Linked DNA regions of Macaca mulatta. The protein of the gene in region 2 purifies or fractionates together with the protein of the main gene of each other region. This does not show direct contact. Links are inferred from orthologs where the notes say so. Each region holds a gene or a part of one and is shown on either strand. Other genes may lie near its edges.

Region 1 (7,298 bases), on a different chromosome or scaffold from region 2:
TACTTCCCAGCCTTCTTTCTGGCTGTCTTTTCTGTGTAGCCAGAAAAGCTGAGTCTCTCTACCTTCTGTACTTTCTCTCACTCCCCTTGCTGGGATGCACTTCTCTCCTTATTTAAATGGTAAGCAGTTATTCCAAGACTCTTCAAAGCTTTTTAGAAGCTTTTCTTACAGCCTCCCTGTCTCCCACTAGAACTGGCCATTTCCTAATGTTCCAGTGTATCTTGTTGAGATATCTGCCATAGTACCTCTGGTATTATATTGCACTGAAACTTTACATGTTTCTTTCTTTCTACTGGGCAATAAGCCCTTTTGCAAATGTTCTTTGAATGATACATGAAAAAAAAAAAAAGCTCCAGATGAAATATAAGGTTTGAATAAGGAAGGAAAAGGCAAGAGCCTGTGTGCACACAAACACACCCCTGTTTGTTAGAGCAATAAATACTGGTAAACTGCTTACTATTACCTTTGGAGGAGAGTTAATTGCTGAGGTAAAGCTCATTTGTGTGAATGTTTTAAATGTGTCTACAAATAAAATAGTCTGATTATATAGCACAAGTTTTCTTTTCATCAGGTTACCTTTTCGACAAAATGATTCGTCTAGTCATTGTCAGAAGAGCGGGTCTCCTATTTCCTCAGAAGAGCGGCGGTGCAGGGATAAGCAGCATCTTGATGACATCACAGCAGCTCGGCTTCTACCGCTTCACCATATGCCTACGCAGCTGCTCTCCATAGAAGAATCTTTGGCACTTCAGAAACAACAGAAACAGAATTATGAGGTATTTAGAGTATTATTTTTTTTCTTGTCTGTTTGTTTGGTGCCTCTTACATAAGCCAGAATTTACTCCAGGTTCAAGGAGGAAGGAATGGAATAGAGGGGATTAGGTGCTTCCATGAGCTCAGACCTATGCCACTAGTTTTCAGAGACCTATGCCATTAGTTTTCAGAGTCATAAAGTTGCTAGAACTGCAGGAAATGGCTAGAGATGATCACAGCTACCTTCAACATGAAAGTGGTGATTTGCCAGGAAATGTGGGGAGACTATTGTAGAATTTCGTGTCTTGAAGCTCATGTACCTGCCTGTTCCTGTTAGGATAGTAGTAGCATCGCATCTCTCCCTTTCACCTTGTAAAACCCATGTGACAGCTTCTGAGTGGTGGACTGTAACCCAGACCCCTTGTTAGAGAATGAGGAAAATGTAGTTCCCAGGCTTCCATCTCCTGCAGTACAGGGGAGGGCATAGAAGGAGTGGGAGGATAATGTTGTATAGCCAGCAGACAGTGAGACACTGTTTCAGAGCATAATCCGCAGGCCTATGTGAAGAGAAAAAATCTGCTTTTGGCAACTTAATCAATTTTGCATAGCACTTTGTTTCCATGTGTTTTGCATTGAACTTTAAACTTATATGTTGAGAGTTTGTATACAGAGTAATGGGATGGGAGAAAATAAGTGTGAAGCACCACAGGGGAATAGAAAAGTTTAGAAGTATTTAGTAACAATTTTAGCCTCCAGGAGAACAGTATCCTGTCTCACTTCCTAGGTGTTGCTTAGCTAGATTTTAGTCAGGTACTAGTGTACCAGCCAGTATCACACCAGGCTGTTCAGGAGTTCGAGACCAGCCTGGGAAACATAGCTAGACTCCATCTTTACCAAAAAATTAGCCGGGCATTGTGGCATGCAGCTGTGGTCCCAGCTACCCGTGAGACTGAGGTGGGAGGATTGCTTGAGCCCAGGAGGTCGAGGCTGCAGTGAGCTGCAATCGCACCACTGCACTTTGTATAGTCTGGGTGACAGAGTGAGACCCTGTCTCAAAAAAAACCCAGCAAAACAGGCTGTTAATCTGCCTTGGCTTTTCATAAAAGCCTTGGCATGGATTGGCATTTTCAAGGTGCTCTTTTTCAAAAAACCCATATTTCTTTCTCTCAGTGCATTAAAATTACTGCCTAGTTATGACCGTAGCATTGAGGAAGTGTTTATTGTCTCTGGGCTCTTAAATGCCCATCCTAAGATATTTTTAGGTTGAATTAAACCCTTTATCTTTAAATTGGTTTTCTTGGCAGAGGTAATAGCTCCCACTTTTACTTACCCATATTCATGGCTTGAAGAGGAAGACATCAAGAAACTCAAGAAAGCATGAGAAAAGGGAAGAACAGAATTAGGAATGACATTGCCACCTACCATGAGTTGGTGGTGAAGTCCTTAGCAGTTTTTAAGTACTTTGCCAGTGTCTGAAATTTACTTGGACTTTTTATTAGATACTAGTTGCTGTAGGACTTTATTTGGAGAGGAATAGTCAGCTTTTTAGTATTAATTTCTTAATTTTCATTTTGCCATTGAAATGTAATTCCCAAGTCCAGAAGTCATGATTTTTATTAGGGAAGAAGGTTCTGTCAGTTGTAGAAATCTAGACAATATTAATCATTTTTGACATTTGATAGGTCACATTGTTATGTGAGCGTGTATACATGTACATGTGCCCACATATTTAATGCATCTGCATTTATAACTGTTGTTGTGCTAAGCTGATTACTCAGTTTCTTATATAGAGGAATGTATTTCAATGCAATGTTGTATATTAATGGAGGTCAGTAACTTCAACTGTAGCAGGCTGGTGGCTGTCAGAAGCATTACCCAGTTGTGTCTGATAGGGCACAGCCAACAGGCTTGTATTGCCCAAGGGAGCACTCGGTGAGGTGTCAGTACCCCTCATATCGCTGATTCTAGATAACTTCCCATTGAAAAATTGAAGAGATGTGAACGTGTAACTTTTTGCTTTGCTCTTTGTTTTAAAGGAGATGCAAGCAAAGCTCGCAGCGCAAAAATTAGCTGAAAGACTGAATATTAAAATGCGGAGTTATAATCCAGAAGGGGAGTCTTCAGGGAGATACCGAGAAGTAAGGGATGAAGATGACGATTGGTCCTCTGATGAATTCTGAAGATAATCTCCTAAATCACTGACGTTGAGGTGTCATCATCTTACATCAGACTTTCTAACTAGTATCAAGATCAGTGTCAGATATTGTTGAGGGAAGTAATTTTATAAAGTTACACAAAGGTAGTTATTAAAAAAAATCCCAGTTTGTCTTTCAGAAGATGACTTTCATGTGCTTGAAAAGTTTAATTTTTGAATATTGTGTTTAACCACATGGTATTAAAATTTTGCAATATATTGTGTATTGGTCTGATATTTTAGTATATAGTAGAACATACTTTTTTTCTTTAAGCCAAATGAAAAGAGAGAACTTTGCTTTTTTCCTTATTCTTAACTATCAAATAGCATTTATTACATGTCTTTCAGTGAAATACTTAGTTCCAGGCACCCAAAATCAATTAGGAAGACATAGTTCCCTTCTCTTTTGGGTAATGAAGGGAGCAGTCTAAAGAATTGTATGCATGTTTGCATGGGGTTATTGAGACATTGGATGTGAAATACTTAGGAAGACATGCATGGAGAATGCTTAACAAATGCTCTTCTCCTTTTTCTGTCTTCCCTTAGGAAGAATGTTCTCTCTCTTCTGATTAGGAAGGAATTCCCTTTTGAGTAGATGCTGGAAGGTGGAAGTTTTTTTTTTTGTTTGTTTGTTTGGTTTGGGTTTTTTTTTTTTTTTTAGAGTCTTGCTCTGTCGCCCAGGCTGGAGTGCAATGGGGCACTATCTTGGCTCACTGCAACCTAGGTGGAGGTCTTTTTAAATAACCTCATGTTACTTCAGGCAAATCTGGTACAGGAAAAGTCCAGGCTAACTGAGCTAGGTGAAGGCTTGTGCATCACCTGGCTTGAGTTCCTTGCTGTCACAGATGATAGGTTCATGTACAGAACATTAATGTTTGGTAAGGAAAGCATTTTTTTTGTTATTGTTGTTACAATTGTCAGTACTTTACTTTTTTCCCCCCAAAGAGGCAGATATAGACTGCAGAAACTTCAGTCTCATATATAAATGTTCATGTCATTTTAGAGGATTATATGGTTGTCTCCAGAGAAATTAACTTACATTATCAAAAAATTCTTTGTCTAATGTATTGGAGTCTTTAAAAGTGTTGAAGAATAAAATATTAATTAGAACAACTTCAAATGCTAATGGTGATGTTTTACTGGGACTTAATTAAATACTTTTACTTTTGAAAAAGACTGTTCACATTTGCTTCCAGGTGTAGTTATTGCTTTCAGTCCTCACCCACCTCAAGCAAATGTGAAAAGTATACTGACCTAAGAGTCTCATTAGTTTTAGTTCTTAAAACTAATAGTAAATGATTTTGCAGCATAAAATTTGATGTTACTTGTGGAAAGCTGGATGATATGGAAGAGTTCATGTGCCTGGACACACAGTTCCCTGTAATCCTGCCACCTAGGGAGATAACCTCTGTTAACATTTTGATGTTGTGGTTTTACTTATTTTTCTAATCATAGTTATACATTTATTTTCTCAAAAATGCAATCATAATGTACATTGCTTTGTGGTCTGCTCTATGTATTGTCAACATTTTCCCATATTAAGTATCTTGCTTTTTAGATAGCTGTAGGATATTTTATTTCATGGATATACCATAACTTTAAGACTGATTCCCTATTCAGCAATTTGATTATTTATTATAATGTAATCTGTAAATAGTGATGTGATTAACATCTTAAAATAATCACATCTATACAAAATGACTTATTTCCAGAAGAGACCGCTCTAGAAATGAAATTGTTAGGTGAAAGTGTTTTCGAGAATCTTTATATATCACTCACTGCAGAGATCATGTTCATTTACATTCCTATTAGCAATATATCCAACGCTCAGAATTGAAAATTACTACTTAAAATCTTTGGAAATTGAATAATTACAGAAAAGGGCTACATTTAAAATTTGTATTTTTTTTATTACTTAGTGAAGGTTGTGTTTTTTTTCCACGTTCATTGGCTATTCTGTATTCATTCTTTTGAGAATTGCTCATTCATATTTTTTCTGTTACCTGGTGAATTTGCTCTTTTCTTGGCTTGTAAGTTCTTAAGAATGTGCGTCCTTTGTCATATATTGTAACTTTTTTTTAGCCTTGTCATTTAACATAGTTTGTGATATTTTAGTGTAGAAGTTGTTTTCTTTAGGAGTCTACCTTTGTATATGTGCTTGAAACTATTTTTGTAATCCAAGAATGGATAAATGTCCTTTTCTTCTTCTAGTATTTTCTTATTTCACTTCTACACCTGTCTTTAAAAGGAATTTAAATTTTGTTTATATACATTAACTAAATCAGTACAAGTTTGGGGTGAAAAGGAAATTTTTAATCCATCTCAAATGTATTTGGGTATATTATATAAGGTAGGGATTTGATTTTATTTCAAAGAGTTTACCAATTGGTTCAGTATCTGAAACCACCATTTCCCCTCTGATTCGTAATGCTATTTTTATAGAATATTAAATTCTTATGTCTTTTGTATCTTAGGCCAATTTCTGGGCCTTCTGGGTTTTTTCCACACTGTCAATAATTATCGCTTTAATTGGTGTTAATATTTGGAAGTACAGGTTCTCCCTTGTTCTTTTAAATTTTGTGAAATATAACCTACAAATAAGTACTTAAAACAGAGTTTAATGGGTAAAGCAACAGCTGTGTAATCACAAACCAGATGCAGAGGAGGTCCTGCCAGCACTCCAAAATCTCCTTTTGTCCCCTCTTGACACTCACTCTTTCCCCCAGAGGTAACTATTCTGACTTAAATTCTCCCTTTGTCCTTTTAAGAATTATTTTACCAGTTATGTGTGTAACAATATGGTTTACGTTTTGCTCACTTTTGACTTACATAAAAATAGAATATTGTATGTTGTGTTTGGTGTCTTTCAACATTGCATGTAAGATTCATGTCACATGGTGTGTTTCATTCATTTTCATTGCTGTGTAATGTGCCATTTCATTAGTACCACTATTATTCCACTTTGATGAGTACTTTGAGATTTTCAGTTTTTGTCTATTATAAGTAATGCTTCAGTGAGCATCTTTGTGCACGTAAACATGTTTCCATAGAATGTGTACCTAGGAGTGGAATTGCTCAGTTATAAGGTATGCATACCTTTAAAATTTTATATTCCCTCCTCTGCTTCCATGATGTGTGAGTGCTTGTTCATCAAACACTTGGTGTTGCCAGATTTTAACTTTAGCCAATATGTTTATATAGTAGGCGTTCATTGTGTGTGTGTGTTTCTGTCTTCTGAGATGGAGTCTCGCTCTGTCACCCAGGCTGGAGTTCAGTTGTGTGATCTTGGCTCACTGCAACCTCTGCCTCCTGGGTTCAAATGATTCTCCTGCTTCAGCCTCCCGAGTAGCTGGGACTATAGGCGCATGCCACCACGCCCAGCTAATGTTTTGTATTTTTAGTAGAGACGGGGTTTCACTGTGTTAGCCAGGATGGTCTTGATCTCCTGACCTCATGATCTGCCTGCCTCCGCCTCCCAAAGTGCTGAGATTACGGGTGTGTGCCACCACCCCCGACCTCATTGTGGTTTTATTTTACCTTTCCCTGATTAGAAATGGCATATGAGCATTTGTTATGTTTATTGGGCACTGGATTTCTTCTTTTGAAAAGTGCCCATTCAAGTCTTTTTTTTGTTTGTTTGGTTTTTTTTTGTTTTTTTTTTTGTTTTTTTTTTTAAGAGAGAGTTGTTCTGTTGCCCAGGCTGGGTTGGGGTGCAGTGGCATGGTCACAGCTGACTGTAACCTCTAACTCCTGGGCTCAAGGGATACTTCTGCCTCAGCCTCCTGGGTAGCTGACGTTACAGGCAGGAGCCACCACACTGGCCTCCATTCGAGTTTTTTGTTTTTCCATTGTGTTGTGTCAGCTGTTTTTTTTCTCTCATTGATTTGTAGGATATATTCTGGATACTAATCCTTGGTATTCAATCAAATTTGGTATTTGGTTGGCTTTGTTGGAAATGTCTTCTCCTTTTGGGGGATTATTTTTCATTCTCTCTTTTTTTTTTTTTTTTTTTCCAGAGATGGGGTCTCACTATATTGCTCAGGCTGGTCTTAAACTCCTGAGCTCAAGTGATCCACCTCAGTCTCCTGAAGTGCTGGGATTATAGGCGTGATCCACCACATTCCAGCCCTTATTCTCTTCTTGATGACTGATAAATTCTTAATTTTAATGGCAAATCTATCTTTTATGTTTAGTGCCTTTTGTGGCTTGTTTTAAGGACTTTTCCTGTCCTGAAGTCATGAAGATAATCTTTTATCTTTAAAAATCTTTATAGTTAAAAGATGGTTTATAATGTTGCCTTTCATGTTAGGTCTTTGATTCCACCTGGAAGATATTCATGACTGTGTGAGGG
Region 2 (7,671 bases):
GCCAGTCACTCTTTCCTCTTAGGGCCTTTGTACTTGTCCCCTGTCTGAAATGTTTCTCCCAGATAGTTACGAAGCTGGTTCTCATTTTCTTAGGCCTTTGTTTACGTATCACCTTAGCGAAGCTTACCCTGGCCACCTTTTTGAAAATGTTGATCCCCCTCTGCTTCCAGTGCCCTACTCTTTCTCCTCTGCCTTATTTTTCTCTGTAGTTCTCTTCAGCTGATAAGTAAGCATAATATTGTATATTGATTCTCTTCCTACCTGATAATATAAATTTGAGGGCAGAAAGTTTTTGTCCTTTTTATTCTCTACCGTTTCTAAGAGCCTAGTTATAAGAACTCAAATTTGTTAAACTAATTGGAAGGTTTTGAGCAGAGGATTGGTGGGCATAAAGCCCGGTTGGGGTGGGCTCAGGAGGAGAGCAGGTGGCTACACTTCTCTGAAAAGAGTTTAGCTCCAAGGGGGAGCAGGGAAGCAGGTCAGTAGTGGGATAGTGGTATGTGGGTGGAATGCATGGCAGCAGGTTTGTGTGCTGGTGGTGGTCTTCAGGAGGGAGAGAGAGAATTTGCTGAGGTAGGGAAGACATGGGACGGCTGCAGAAGTTGAGTCTTTGAGGAAACGAGAGGAAATGGGATGAGAGGAAATGGGATGCGCATGCCGCTTGGAGGACTGGCTGAAAGAGGCACTTGCCACTCTGATGGGTGAAGGAGAGCAGGGAGCGTGCGGACAACGTGGGTAGGTCCCCTGAAGTGAGCATCTGGCTTCTGCATTTTCACTGCATATTTTGTGTAACTCACTAAATTATTATAAGTTACTTTTCTGGGTTGTAATTTGTGTAAATGAATTATTTCCTTTGTAAAAGTTCTTGAGGCTGCAAATTGATTTTCTTTTTAATCTTAAAAATTAGTATTTGCCATTTTTTGCCACAGGCACCTAAACATCTTAGTGAATTAACCATTTTTAAAAAATGATCAGTCAAGCAATAACAAAACTAAAACCAACCTAACCACCCCAGGAGCTTGCTCATGGAATGAGCCACTGAGCTGGGAGAAGTTTGGTGGTCCTTTATCCTCTGTGAATGAGGTGATCTCTTTCCTTTGTGCTCCATTCGGCTCACTTCTTCCCTTTCACCAAGGACATTCTTTTGTTTCCCATCCCTGAGGAGGGTAGAGGTGCCTAATCTTTGGCATCCCACCCAATCTGGAATCCTTCAGCAGTTCCTCTTGCAATGTTCACATTAAGAAAGCATCTAAAAGCCACATGGCTGTTTGCCAGAGCTACTGTGTTGGGAATTCTGAAATCCTAGTTCCCTAGGAGAACGCGAGCTCTCCCCTCTGACAGCCTGTATCCATAGGGAGTGTCATGGAACTGTCCCATGGTACTGCGGGAGTCTCTGATGCCCTTTGTTTCAAAGCACCAACCTACTGTTTTGACCTATTTAGGCCTTTTAAAAATGAGGTATACATATTTAAAATTCTAATCTCATCACCACCCACAGGTAATTAATTATGTCAATTCTTTGTAAATGCAGATCCTCCTTTGTTTATCACTTCTTCCCAGTAATACCCTTTCTTAATGTTTTTCCATCCCCAAACATGAGTTACAACCCATTAATTGGATATGAAATCAGTCTGGTAGCTAATGACCAACAGATTTTAAAAAATGGAATAAAGCCATCCTGGCTAACAGAGAAACCTCGTCTCTACTAAAAATACAAAAAAATTAGATGGGCGTGGTGGTGGGCGCCTATAGTCTCAGCTACTCGGGAGGTGTAGGCAGGAGAATGGCTTGAACCTGGGAGGTGCAGCTTGCAGTGAGCCGAGATCATGCCACTGCACTCCAACCTGGGCAACAGAGCAAGACGCCGTCTCAAAAAAAAAAAAAAAAGGAAAAGGAATAAAATAGAAGATAGAGCACACATAGTAAGAATGGGTATATGGGTATTTTATGAAACCTGCTTTCATTTTTCTTTGTGTTTACATAAGTGTATTTCTGCTGTGAGTCATGTTCAGAAACATTTACAAACCTCCTTCTTATCAGACTTTACATTTTGTTGCATGTAGGAAGAAATTCATCCCCAGGTCCAAGGCTTACATAGTTTAAGAGATAGAGTACTATAGATCATTTTAGAGATCTGGCTTCGAGTCCCAGCATCTTAGCTGACTGCATATTGAAACCTGTCATGTAGGGTTTTTTTGGCGGGGAGGAGGTCTTAGTTCCCACACCCAAGAGATAAAGTGCACGCTATTTTTTATTCCAATGGAAAGTAAAAAGACTACTTAATGAAATACGGTTGTCCCTCCATATCCATGGGGGTTTGGTTCCAAGACCTTCTGAGAATACCAAAATCCAAGGTTGCTCACGGCCCTTAAATAAAATGGTGTCGGATTTGTCTATAACCAACGAACATCTTCCCATATACTTTAAATACTCTCTAGATTACTTATCATAGCTAATGCAATGTAAATGCTGTGTTAATAGTTGTTATTCTGTATTTTTTAAATTGTGGGTTTTTAATCGTTATTTTTATTGGTTTGTGGGGTTCTTTGGTCTGAGTATTTTCCATTTATGGTTGGTTAATCCACAGATACAGAACCCACAGATATAGGGGGCCAACTGTAATATAAATGAAAGCACTTGAAATTCTCAGAGGCAAGGAACGATTTTTTCACGGATGATCTTCAATATCTCTTTCTGCTTGTTTTGTCTGGAGAGCTTTTGCAGGAACAGGCATTTAGAAAGCCTTTGCCAGATTCCTCCCTTGTACCACTTCCTTACCTCGGGTAATTGAGTAGTGTCCTGTCTTGCTGACAGGGTGAATACCTTTGGATTTCTTGATCAATCAACTCATTGTTTGTCCACAGGTTCTGGCTTATTCTTAGACTCTGTATATTGGGAGAGAAACTGTTAACCTCCCCCAGAAATGTTTCTAATCATACCTATGTGATTTGTATATTTTCTCTATTTTTTGATCTCATTTGTACTTAGACAAAGAGGCAGCTGAACGTCTTTCAAAAACAGTAGATGAAGCATGTCTGTTACTAGCAGAATATAACGGGCGCCTGGCGGCAGAGCTGGAGGACCGTCGCCAGCTGGCTCGGATGTTGGTGGAGTATACCCAGAATCAGAAAGATGTTTTGTCCGAGAAGGAGAAAAAGCTAGAGGTGAGTCCATTAAAAGGCAGACCCAGACTGTCCACGTTTCCCTTCCTGTAGCCCACATTAGGAGGTTTTTATTATGCTTTAATTAACAACATTTTTATCATTTAAAAATTCATGATGTGAATTCTGAATATCCATCAGATACTGTAGTTATTTGAGCACAGTTAAAAATTGAAGTCATGTTCTTATATGTCCAGGACAGAACAAACTGGATTGTAGGAAACAAACAGTGAACTCTTAATCACAACCTTAGGATCTTAATACTGCTTTCGTTTGAACTCATGTTTAAAAAAATTATAAATTGAGGTATAAAAACAATAGCAAATCAGTGAAAACCAAAGAGTATGTTTGGTGGTAGTTGGGAAGTGCTGAAAAACGTTTCTTTTAAGGCATTTGGAAGGTTTTTTTTGTTTTTGTTTTGTTTTTTGTGTGTGTGTGGTTTTTTTTTTTTTTTTTTTTTTTTGAGATGGAGTCTCGCTGTCGCCCAGGCTGGAGTGCAGTGGTACGATCTTGGCTCACTGCCACCTCCACCTCCCGGGTTCATGCCATTCTCTTGCCTCAGCCTCCTGAGTAGCTGGGACTACAGGCATCCACCACCACGCCCGGATAATTTTTTGTATTTTTAGTAGAGACGGGATTTCACCATGTTAGCCAGGATGGTCTCGATCTCCTGACCTCGTGATCCGCCCGTCTCAGCCCAGAATGCTGGGATTACAGGCATGAGCCACCGCGCCTGGCCATTTGGAGGTTTATTTCTGACTTGTATCCATGCTGTGGCTGAGAAGTTGTCTGCCTCCAAGATCTATCTGTAGTCAGCTCTTAAATTTCACAGTAGTATTTATAAAGCACAGTTCTCAAACTGTAGAGGAAGAACTCATTTCTACCCTGGGTTGAGGACATTAGTCCGAGTGACCTTGGGGAGGGAGTTCAGAAACATTTCCTCCCCATACACTTGTTTGGTTTCGTAGTTAAGTGCATGGTGGTTTACCCTCAGTGCTTGGTCCCATGGGATAACACAGCCAGCAGTGTGAATGTTTGGGAACTTTTGCTGCCCCGGGCTGCTGCACTTCCTTTTCAGGAATGTCTGCTCTTCTTTTTTCAAGAGATATGGAAAAGAGTTGCAGCCAGTGGTTTTGTAAAGGAGGACACTTCTGAGTTAGAGAGCCGGTCATGTTGTATTTCAAGAAATACTTCTTAAATCCCTCTCAGAGTAGACAAGGGACAAGGAGAGCCATGTCACCTCCATGCTCAGGAAACATGCTCTGGCACAGAAGGAGGGAACATTGAGCTAGCTCTGAGGCTGAGATCATTGTATTTGCCTTTCAGCACGGTCATCTGACTTGAGGGGAAATGAGTGGCAGGCACTTTTTACCGTATCCTTACCTGCAGTGATTCTGGGAACCGTGTTGCATAGTGGTAGCAGGAACTTCACATTCGTAGCCTGCTTGAATGTGGAAGGTGCGAAAGGGCTGTCAACATCCTACGGCTTAGATTTAGACATCGGCACTGACCAGAGATCCTAAAGGGAGTTTCACAGGCAGTACCAGACGGTCATTTATCTGAAATGCTCATCTTTCACTGAGGAAGCATTTTCAGCACTGTGCCCCGGGACTAATAAGAGAGTGTAATTAATGATTCTGGTTGTAAGTCACCATGCCATCTGTTGAACTGCCCCTTGGCGACACATTAAGGGCTTTCTCTGATCTGTCAGACATTGATTATCATGAGCAGCTGTTGTTGGGTGGAACGTGGCAAGCAACCATAGAGGGCAGAGTCTTTGAGGAGATCGGGTTGGTAGAGCTGGTTAACTCTTTGTTCTGTTTTCCCTCCCCATAGTTGCACTTTCCTCTGTGTATTGTTGGGGAATCATTCTGGTTTTTGTAGAACTAGTGGTTTGCTGGACACCATGAGAGGGCATTAAGGTGGAGAAACAGATTAGAGCTTTGGATGCGTCCTGTAACTTTCTAGTCTACATTGCTCTGCCTGGTTCATTCAGTGGAATGGTGTTGGCATTCCGTTGCTGAAGAAGCGGAACAGGAAGGCCCCACCACTGGAACCAAAGTACAGAGTCTGAACTGAAGGTTCTTATCTCAAACCATGTCTCCCAGGCATATGAGCAGAACCATTTATTGTAAAAATAGAGCCGATTTGCTGCATTAAAGAAAGCAAATGACTAGATACAATATAAGGTTTTTTTCTGAGATGGAGTCTCACTCTGTCACTCAGGTTGGAGTGCAGTGACGTGATCTCAGCTCACTGCAACCTCCACCTCCCAGTCTCAACCAATCCCCCGTCTCAGCCTCCTGGGTAGCTGGGATTGTAGGCATGTACTACTACGCCCGGCTAATTTTTTTTATTTTTTTTTATTTTTAGCAGAGACAGGGATTCACCATATTGGCCAGGCTGGTCTCGAACTCCTGACCTCAAGTGATCAGCCCGCCTCACAATATAAGATTTGAGAGATGGTTTTAGTTCTTTTCTTTATCCACGTTTGCTAAAAATGTAGGCAGTCTGTTCTCCTGAACCTAAGATTTTTCTCACCCTGTAATAGACTGGTCCTGTCCCATCACATCCCTGTGGTGGTGGCCCAACTTGATAAATGTATGCCACTTGAAAGATGCATGAATACTGTGAATTCCTTCAAATTGTCCAAAAGTCTGTCTGTGTGATGGGGCAGTACATAAAGTATACCCACTTTTTTAGCATTCATTTTTGTAACACAGCCAGTCCATTTTAAAACTGCCAAATCAGAATGCTAATTAAATATTTTATTTTTTAATCTTTTCATTGCCTTCAGTGTATACATACATGAAATTCTCAGAACTCTTTGGAGAAGTGGTTATTTGCTTGGGAGTCTGTTTTCTTCCCAAAGCTCTAATATACTTAGGTTTCTTTGTGCTTTCCTTTTTAATTTTGTATCTTTATGTAATAAGCATCTTTTTCTCTTTCACTTGGGAATTTTACGTCAGTGGTTCCTACATGTCAGGATTGGGCGTATGATGATTCAGAGCCTAGGATGTAAAAGAGGGAATTACGACTCAAAGTAGGAGATTGTGTTTCTTCCCTCCAGGAAATCATATTCTGGCATAAACAGCACAGGTGAACATAAAGCCAAACCACTTGATTGTACATAATGTAGATTAAGGAGGCAGTTGGTGGTTCTGTTTGTGGTTTAAGGTAGGTCCAAACTTGCCGTCAAGCAATAAAACCTTTTTGTAAAAGGAAATAATAGTTGAAGAAGAGAAACGTGTTTATAAATGGGGAGCAGTTAGACTGGACCAGACGGTATCTGAAGAAGGACAAAGGCAGATGTGGAAAGGAAGTGCTGGAGACCACCAGGGGGAGATTAAGGTCTGTGCTCTTTAGGAAGCTATGTATTCATTCAGGGAGTCAGCAAAGTCTGTGCCAACCAGATGTTGGCAACAAAGATGGGCACGATGCACTTCTCCCCTCAAGGGGCTTATGCTCGAGTCAGGGGGAAACAGCAGCAAACAAGGGGTTAAGGTAGAATTCAAGAAAGATTGTCAGTAAGGAAAATATTCTCACTTGTGTCTACACTGAAATAGACCAAGAAAAAAATGAAGATGCTAATAATAATTTGATCAGATGCTTATTAAAAATGTGAGACTTATCAAATCATGGACAGTTTGTGAAACTATAATGCCTTCAGCAGGTCTCCCGAAGTTTGCTAGACTGTGTGCTCTTTGAGTGCTCTCGCAGTGCCAGGAACATATTTGTTCCTCAATAAATATTTGTTCTTTGACTGAAATCCATCACTTGATGTAACCTTTTTCTATAGAGAAAAGGGTTTTTTTTTAGTTTGCGTTAAAAGTGACTTAACAAATCGGATTTAATGATTGGTTGTAAAGAATATGTTAGTTCGGAAAGGTAACCATTTTTAGAAATTTCTGTGTGTTTTCTCCTTTGTGCTACTTTTCTTTTTTCCTTTAAGCAGAATTATGCTTTGTTTTGAGAGAATCATCTTTTTTTGTTTGTTTTTGACTTTTGCTTCTGGGTGTCATGATTGATTTGGCGTATGATGTGGGGCCTTAAAAACCAGGCAAGGGTAGAAGGAATGCTGCTGAAAATCTGTTGCTAATGTTTTTGTCATGAACATAAGAAAACCTGGAAATGGAAAAGAAGGCTTGTGGAAGGAAGCACAAATAGCAGCCCAAAGAGGAGGTTAGAGAATGTGGAGGGTATAGAAGAAAGCCCATTCAAAAAGGCAGAGGCCAAAGGTACCAGAAAAGCCTTCTAGCTTCACTTCCAGAGCAAAGATAAGCTTTGTTTGTGGTTCACAGAGGTGACTGCATTACTCCCAGATGTCTGCTCAAAGCTCATAAGACATAGTCTGAGTGGGTTGGATAGGGTTCCTGTCTTGTCAGTGTGAATAAAGCATAATACAGACATGTTCCATTAGCATGATCAGTGCATGGGGAAGAGTGTGTGTGTGAGAAAGAAACCTATTTGTACAAGTATTAAGGAAAGAAAAAAGGTCAGGAACCTGCAG
Region 3 (7,671 bases), on a different chromosome or scaffold from region 2:
GTGTGGTGGAAATAGCAAGAGAACTAGAATTGGAAATAGAACCCAAAGATGGGACTGAATTGCTATAATCTCATGAATAAAGCTTGAACAAATGAAGAGTTGCTTCTTATGGATGAGCAAAGAAAGTGGTTTTGCTGGGCACAGTAGCTCACGCCTGTAATCCTAGCACTTTGGGAGGCAGAGGCAGGTGGATTGCCTGAGCTCAGGAATTCAAGACCAGCCTGGGCAACATGGTGAAACCTCATCGCTACTAAATATACAAAAAATTAGCTGGGTATGGTGGTGGGTGCCTGTAGTCCCAGCTTCTCAGGAGGCTGAGGCAGGAGAATTGCTTGAACCCAGGAGGCAGAGGTTGCAGTGAGCTGAATTCGTGCCACTACACTCCAGCCTGGGCAGCAGAGTGAGACTCTGTCTCAAAGAAAAAAAAAAAGAGTTTCTTGAGATGGAATCTACTGATGAACATGCTGTGGACATTGTTCAAATGACAACAAAGGATTTTAGAATATTGCATTAATGGAGCAGCAGCAGAATTTGAGAGGACTGACTCCAGTTTTGAAAGAAACTTATGGGCAAAATGCTATCAAGCTATATTGCATGCTACAAAAAAAATCTTTGTGAAAGGAAGAGTCAATTTATGTAGCAAACCTCATTATCTTAAGAAATTGCCAGAGCCACCTCAGCCTTCAGCAGTCACTACCATGATCAGTCAGCAGCCATCAACATCAAGGCAAGACCCTCCACCAGCAAAAAGAATATGATTTGCTGGAGATTCAGATGATTGTTAAGGTTTTTTGAGCTACAAAGTATTTTTTTAACTAACATGTATATTATTTTTAACACATAATGCTATTACACACTTAATTGACGTATAGTGTAAATGTAACTTTTTAAAAATTTATTTGTTTGTTTTTTAGAGACAGAGTCTTACTCTGTCACCCAAGCTGGAGTGCAGTGGCTTGATCAGGGCTCACTGCAGACTCGAACCGCTGGTCTCAAGCAATCCTCCCACCTCAGCCCTCCAAGTGGCCAGGACTACAGGTGTACCCCACTACGTCTGGCTAGTTTTTGTATTTTTTTCCTGAGACAGGGTTTTGCCATGTTGCCCAGACTGGTCTCAAACTCCTGGACTCAATCTGCCAGCTTCAGCCTTCCAATGTGCTGGAACTGTAGGCATGAGCCACTGTGCCCAGCCTAAACCTTACAATTTTCTAGAGGTTTATTAACCAGAAAGAACAGACTCTACTGTCATTTCTTATATTTTTTTTTTGCTGAGATTCTTTCTCTCATTATAAAAAAAAAAAACCAGAAAAGTCGAGCCGCGCATCGTGGCTCACATCTGTAACCCCAGCACTTTGGGAGGCCGAGGCGGGCAGATCATGAGGTCGGGAGTTCGAGACCAGCCTAGCCAATACGGTGAAACCCCGTCTCAACTAAAAAAAAAAAAAATACAAAATTTAGCCGGGCATGGTGTCACGGGCCTGTAGTCCCAGCTACTTGGGAAGCTGAGGCGGAAGAATCACTTGAACTCGGGAGGCGGAGGTTGCAGTGAGCGGAGATTGCACCACTGCACTCCGGTCTGGGTGACAGAGCAAGACTCATCTCAAGAAAAAAAAAAAGTCATGTGTTGCTTAACATCAATATATTCTGAGGCCGGGTGCGGTGGCTCACGCCTATAATTCCAGCACTTCGGGAGGCCAAGGTGGGCAGATCACTTGAGGTCGGGAGTTCAAGACCAGCCTGGCCAACATGGTGAAACCCTGTCCCTACGGGAAAAAAAAAAAAAAAAAATTAGCTGGGCATGGTGGCAGGCACCTGTAATCCCAGCTACCCGGGAGGCGGAGGCAGGACAATCGCTTGAACCCAGGAGGCAGAAGTTGCAGTGAGCTGAGATCACACCATTGCACTCCAGCTTCAGTGACAGAGCAAGACTCAATCTCCAAAACAAAAAAAGAATATGTTCTGAGAAATGCGTCATTAGGGAATTTTATCCTGTGAACATCATGGAGTGTACTTACATAAACGTAGATGGTATAGCCTACTAAAAACCGAAGCTATATTGTGTAGCCTATTGCTCTTCGGCTGTAAACCTGCACTGCATGTCACTGTATTGAATACTATAGGCAATTGTAACACAATGGTAAGTACTTACATATCTAAACTTTTTTTTTTTTTAAAACGGAGTCTCGCTCTCTCTCCAGGCTGGAGTGCAGTGGCGCAGTCTCAGCTCACTGCAACCTTCGACTCCCTGGTTCAAGCAATTCTCCTGCCTCAGCATCCCGAGTAGCTGGGATTACAGACATGCACCACCATGCCCAGCTAATTTTTGTATTTTTAGTAGAGACGGCGTTTCACCATGTTGGCCAGGATGGTCTTGATCTCCTGACCTCTTGATCCGCCGGACTCGGCCTCCCAAAGTGCTGGGATTAACAGGCGTGAGCCACCGTGCCCGGTCATATCTAAACATTATAGAACACAGAAAATTGTGAAAAGTATAAAGAAAAATTCACTCACTTTCACCAAATGGAGATTTACAAAATAACAATTTCCTTTTTTTTTTTTTTTAAGATAACAATTTCAGTATTACTATCTTCCAGTCTTTTTCTTCTATAAATGTTAGCATTGTATTTGAAACCAGTCACACGCATAGTCAGGCATACCTTGGAGATATTGAGGTTTCACTTCCAATCCACCACAATAAAGCAAATATTGCAGTAAAGCATGTTACATGCAGGTGGATCACTTGAGCCCAGGAGGTTGAGGCTGCTGTGAGCCAAGATCACGCCACCATAGTTCAGCCTGGACAACTGAGTGAGACCCTGTCTCAAAAAAAAAAAGAAAATTATAAGGTTTAATACAATTTTCTCTGTTTCTTACCCATTCTTAGGCAAGAAAAGAAATTCTTTGTGAATACATGATGATATGGATTCATAGACTCTCATCCTTGAAAGAGGCCTTAAATTTGACATAGCTTTTTTTTTTTTTTTTTTTGAATCATATACTTCAATCTCCACATGGTTTGGTGGATTCACTTAGGGAGAGGTTAAATTCCTGTTTTGTCTTTTGACAGATCTATTAAATTATTAGAATGGTTTCTGTTCTTTGGCAGATCTGTTAGAATAAAATTTCTTTTCCCTATGGCTTCATACTTTTGTCCTTGTTTTGCTTCCTGAGATCACACCAGTTTGATTCCTCTTCCTGACAACGGTTATGCCCTTCCTGCATTGTTTTTTTTATATTTCTTTTACATTTCACAAAGCATAATTAAAATCTTAAATTATTAATTTTATTGGTAATTATTTATCATTCACTTCTACTTTAACTTTTTTTTTTTTTTTTTTTTTGAGACAGGGTCTTGCTTTGTGGCCCAGGCTGGGTTGCAGTGTTATGATCACCGGTCACTACAGCCTGGATCTCCTGGGCTCAAGCGATTCTCTTGCCTCAGGCTCCCATGTAGGAGATACTACAAATGTGTGCCACCACATGTGGCTAATTTTTTCATTTTTAGTAGAGATGAGGTCTCTCTCTGTATACCAGGCTGGTCTTAAACTTCCAAGCTCAAGTGGTTTTCCCAGCTCGGCCTTTCAAAGTTGGCCAGACTGGTCTCGAACTCCTGACCTTAGGCAGTCCATCCACCTCGGCCTCCCAAAGTGCTGGGGTGGCAGGCGTGAGCCACTGTGCCCGGCCAACATTTTTTTAAAGTTAGATAGCCAACTTGAACCAGAAGCTCATCTGTGATCCAGCCAGAATAAACCAATACCCTTTACTTCCCTAATTCTTATTGTGTATTCTCATAGTATTATGTAATAGTCTTTTAGAAAACATGTTACAGTATGTGATTGATTCAAGATTTTTTTTCTAAACCTTTAAAAAATGAAAAAATATAGCATTGCTAAACCTTGTCTTCTTATTCAGTACTACTATAATTGTGTTTTAGACCAGGTTTTTCAATCTCTTTTAGAATTCCCGTTGTGTCCACACATTCCCAGCCCTCTCAAGTTCATATCCATCAAAAAGCTCTCAGTATGTCATCTGTAGTTTCATCTATGTCATTTATAAAAGTGTTGAATGGTAATTTAAGATTCTTAAAATCTTTAAAGTTTAAGATTTCTTTAGTCCTGGATATTATAGAAAAAAAGTTTTGAAATAAACATCAGAAGAAATTTGGAAAATAATTTTATTGATAACTTTATTTTCAGATTTCTAGTTTGGAATAGAAGTCAAGGTTTTTATAGTCTGTATTACTTTTTCTTTGTTTTCAGGGATCCATCTGTCTCTAAGTCTGTAGAACGAATCTTTAAAATCTGGGAAGATAGAAATGTATACCCAGAAGAGATGATTGTGGCATTGAGAGAAGCTTTGAGTAAGTGTCTTTTTTCTCTCCTAAAAGAAAATTTTGAGTCAGTCTTTACAATTACATAATTTTATAGATATGGTCATGTTGTATAATAGTGAAAAATTAAGTTTTGAATCTAGCCCTATTTGTTTAAAATTAAATACTTTTGAGAAACCTAGATCTGTTTGAATTAAAATGTAAATAGAATTGGTTTTAGGGATGGGGTTGGATTTTGTTTTTTAGTGATAACAAAAGTCAAGCATATTAAGTGGTGATAGCCATCTGGTTATTTTCCTGCATTTGCATTGAGTGTTTCAAATGGTTCATTGTTTGTGTTAATAAATACTGCCCTGTGCCCTTACTGTTGGAGAATTTTTCACAGGGTGTCAATTCTCACTAAGCTGTTTGGTAGTAAGCATATATCGGCAGTCTTTAGACTGTCTTTTGATTTAGATTTACAGTAAGTTGTGTACTGTTTTGTTAAAAGGAATTTAATTCTTATGTATTATATGCTTGTAATTAAGTTATTGAGTAGAAGTTGGTGATAATCTGCTACCATGACCGTCATTTGACTAGAAATTTGCTTTAAAAATGGCATCTTCTAAGAAGCTGTTAAATTCTTCATTTTAAGTTGTTAATTGGTATTTTTAAGCCTCCTTCCCTATTTTTTTCAGAATTGGTAATTTCACTGATGATAAAAATCATGTTTATTTGACAGCTTCTTAGATCGGGTAGGAATTTCTATTTTTTCATAAAAATGAAAGAAAAGGAAAGAAAGAAACAACACACAGTCTCGGATTGCCTTTTTTCATGCTGCAACTTTGGCACTGAAGTGGACAGACAGAACAGCTTCCCATAATGCCAGATTGCAAAAACTGAAATGTTTTCCAGGTACCACTTTCAAAACTCAGAAGCAGCTGAAAGAAAATCTGAACAAACAACCGAATAAGCAGTGGAAGAAATCACAAAGTAAGGAACAAAATCTCAACTAATATAAAATTACCTCCTCTTTTTGGAGCAGAAGAAAATGTAGACCATTTGACATCGTACCTGGCATAAACCATGGGCAAGCCTGTTTTCCAGGCCTGGGAGGCTCCCAGTGACCTATGATAAACAAGCCATCATGGAGTTACTTCTTAAAAAAAAAAAGCAAACAAAAACTACACTTTAAAACAAAGGAAATGCAGAAAAGGGTTTAATTGAGTGAAGATTCAAGAGTAGTTGGGGGATTGAAAGAAGAAAAAAATACTTGATAGTGTCCAGGCTAATTTTCAGGTTCAAGGATATATGATGTTAGAGGCAGCTGGCATTAAACAACAGATCTGAAGAGGAGACTAGGCATTAAGAAGCATTTCTGTGGGAACCATGAAATCTCCAGATTTGGGGGATATACTCTACCAAATTAGACGTGGGCCTCAGATCCTGGCCAGAAGCTCATTCTGTAATGGGAGCTCCTGTTATATTTATCATATTTACCCAGCATGAGATCAAGGGAATGGAATACTGCATGTGATAGGCTGCTGTGGGCAAACTGAGGAATATTGAGAGAGACTTGAAGGTATGGAGGGAACAAAGTAAAAGAGAGTGAGAATTGGGAGGTAAAACAAGACACTTGGGATGGTTTTGCTCCAGCGAGCATATGATATCCATCATGATTAAGGGAGTCCTCAGACATCCTTTTGGTCATAAGTTGCATGCTTAGGAACAACAAGAGTCGTCATTTCAGCCAAAGTTCAACCACAGTGTTAATATACCTAGAAGTTTCCTTGCCTATTTTTGCTATGAATTGAGTCAGCAGAAAAAGAAATTCAAAGGATAAATATATAGGAATAGAGTTATTTGTCACTAATTTTCTTCAGCCAGTGCTCAGGATTAATTGGATGTCCTGTTCCTGAACACTCTTAATTTGAGGTATTTAGATCCTCTTACACCCACACTAGGAAAAAAAGGTACTTGATGTATCTCGGTGTCTCCAAATCAATAATTCTAGGACTTTATGACTTCAAGGGTCTGTTGGAGGTAAGTAGATTAGGTCTGTCTAAATAGCATATTTTTACATTGACCATGTTTAGGAGTGTTCAAATTTCCTAGTCCATTATTTATTTTAGGAATTATGACTTAAATGTGCATGTTGCCATATGTTCAGAGTATATCCTTAACTATAGAGCTAAAATTTTTCCTATTAGTCAACTTTTTGTGTCTGTATTCTTAATGACCTTTTGTTTAATTCCAACAGCATCTACAAATCCAAAAGCTGCTCTCAAGTCTAAGATAGTTGCGGAATTTCGAGTAAGTTACAGAATTTGTTTAATACAGCAAAGTATTATTCACCCCTTTTGTATTATAGTTTCCTGTATAGTCCAATAAGATTTATTTGTATTCAGTTACACCTGTCATGTTTTAAACATGCGGGAACTGTTCTAAAGGAACCCAGATTGGGATTAGATTGCTTGGCATTTTATCTGTTCCCCTAATGGTAGAAATAACCTTCTTCCAGTATATCTATTATCAGCTGAGTTCTGTATTCAATTTATGCCAGCAAGAGAGTTTATTTTCCTGTGAAACTCTTTCTAAATTAGAATTTGCTTACAGAAGGCTATGTTTATGTAATTAAAATTTAAAGAGGCTTTGTAAGTGGACCTTTGTCTGTTTTAGTCTTAACTCTGTATCCATAAATTAGCTTTGTATAATTAAGGAAAAGGATCTTTTAAAGTCTACAACTAAACATGATTTTGACATGAGAATTGATCATTAATATCTGTGACTGTGAGAAAAAGTGAAAAGTTTTTTCCTCCCAGGGTTTTGTTAAACTTTAGGGTTTTGTTTTTGTTTTTGTTTTGTTTTGTTTTGTTTTGTTTTGTTTTATAAAACAGGGAGAGATAGAATGAGAATAATTGAATGATCTTGTAAATGAAATATGACTCTGGTCTGTGTTTAGTCTCAGGCCCTAATTGAAGAGCTGTTGCTATACAAGCGCTCAGAAGATCAGATAGAACTGAAGGAAAAGCAGTTGTCAACTATGAGGGTGGATGTGTGCAGCACAGAAACTCTCAAATGCTTAAAAGGTAATGCTTACATCCTTTTAGAATAAGTCAGATTTTCTTTCCATATCTGTCATTTTTCCGGTAATCATACTGGTTTACCTCATAAGGAGAGCCTTGGGTAGAAAATAGTTGTGGCACCTCTGGTTTCCCAGGTAGTTGTTTCATGCATATAAATTTCGTAAGTAAATTCTATCTTTCTCATTTCTAGTACTTTCTTGGTGTATTGGGTTATATATATAGACAGTTGTATTTCACATGTGTGGTTACTTGGTATGGGTATGCTCTTCAATGAAG

Evidence for each region. The genes of interacting proteins can lie anywhere in the genome.
Region 1: the proteins of RPRD1B (region 2) and POLR2M purify together in Homo sapiens (affinity purification with mass spectrometry; 3 studies listed by BioGRID and IntAct, counting the BioPlex papers as one, with this or other methods). This does not show direct contact. The link is inferred for Macaca mulatta from reciprocal best matches to the Homo sapiens genes RPRD1B and POLR2M.
Region 3: the proteins of RPRD1B (region 2) and RPRD2 purify together in Homo sapiens (affinity purification with mass spectrometry; 4 studies listed by BioGRID and IntAct, counting the BioPlex papers as one, with this or other methods). This does not show direct contact. The link is inferred for Macaca mulatta from reciprocal best matches to the Homo sapiens genes RPRD1B and RPRD2.

Annotation. Positions count from the first base shown.
Region 1 is NC_133412.1:35,015,824-35,023,121, forward strand, and holds the end of POLR2M (protein GRINL1A), read left to right. Parts: intron 1-571; coding exon 572-776; intron 777-2,789; coding exon 2,790-2,933; 3' UTR 2,934-4,067; downstream 4,068-7,298.
Region 2 is NC_133415.1:90,928,423-90,936,093, forward strand, and holds part of RPRD1B (regulation of nuclear pre-mRNA domain-containing protein 1B), read left to right. Parts: intron 1-2,988; coding exon 2,989-3,164; intron 3,165-7,671. UniProt on the Homo sapiens protein: Interacts with phosphorylated C-terminal heptapeptide repeat domain (CTD) of the largest RNA polymerase II subunit POLR2A, and participates in dephosphorylation of the CTD by RPAP2. Transcriptional regulator which enhances expression of CCND1.
Region 3 is NC_133406.1:116,685,548-116,693,218, reverse strand, and holds part of RPRD2 (regulation of nuclear pre-mRNA domain-containing protein 2), read left to right. Parts: intron 1-4,259; coding exon 4,260-4,360; intron 4,361-5,051; exon of another isoform or gene 5,052-5,224; coding exon 5,225-5,302; intron 5,303-6,569; coding exon 6,570-6,622; intron 6,623-7,271; coding exon 7,272-7,398; intron 7,399-7,671.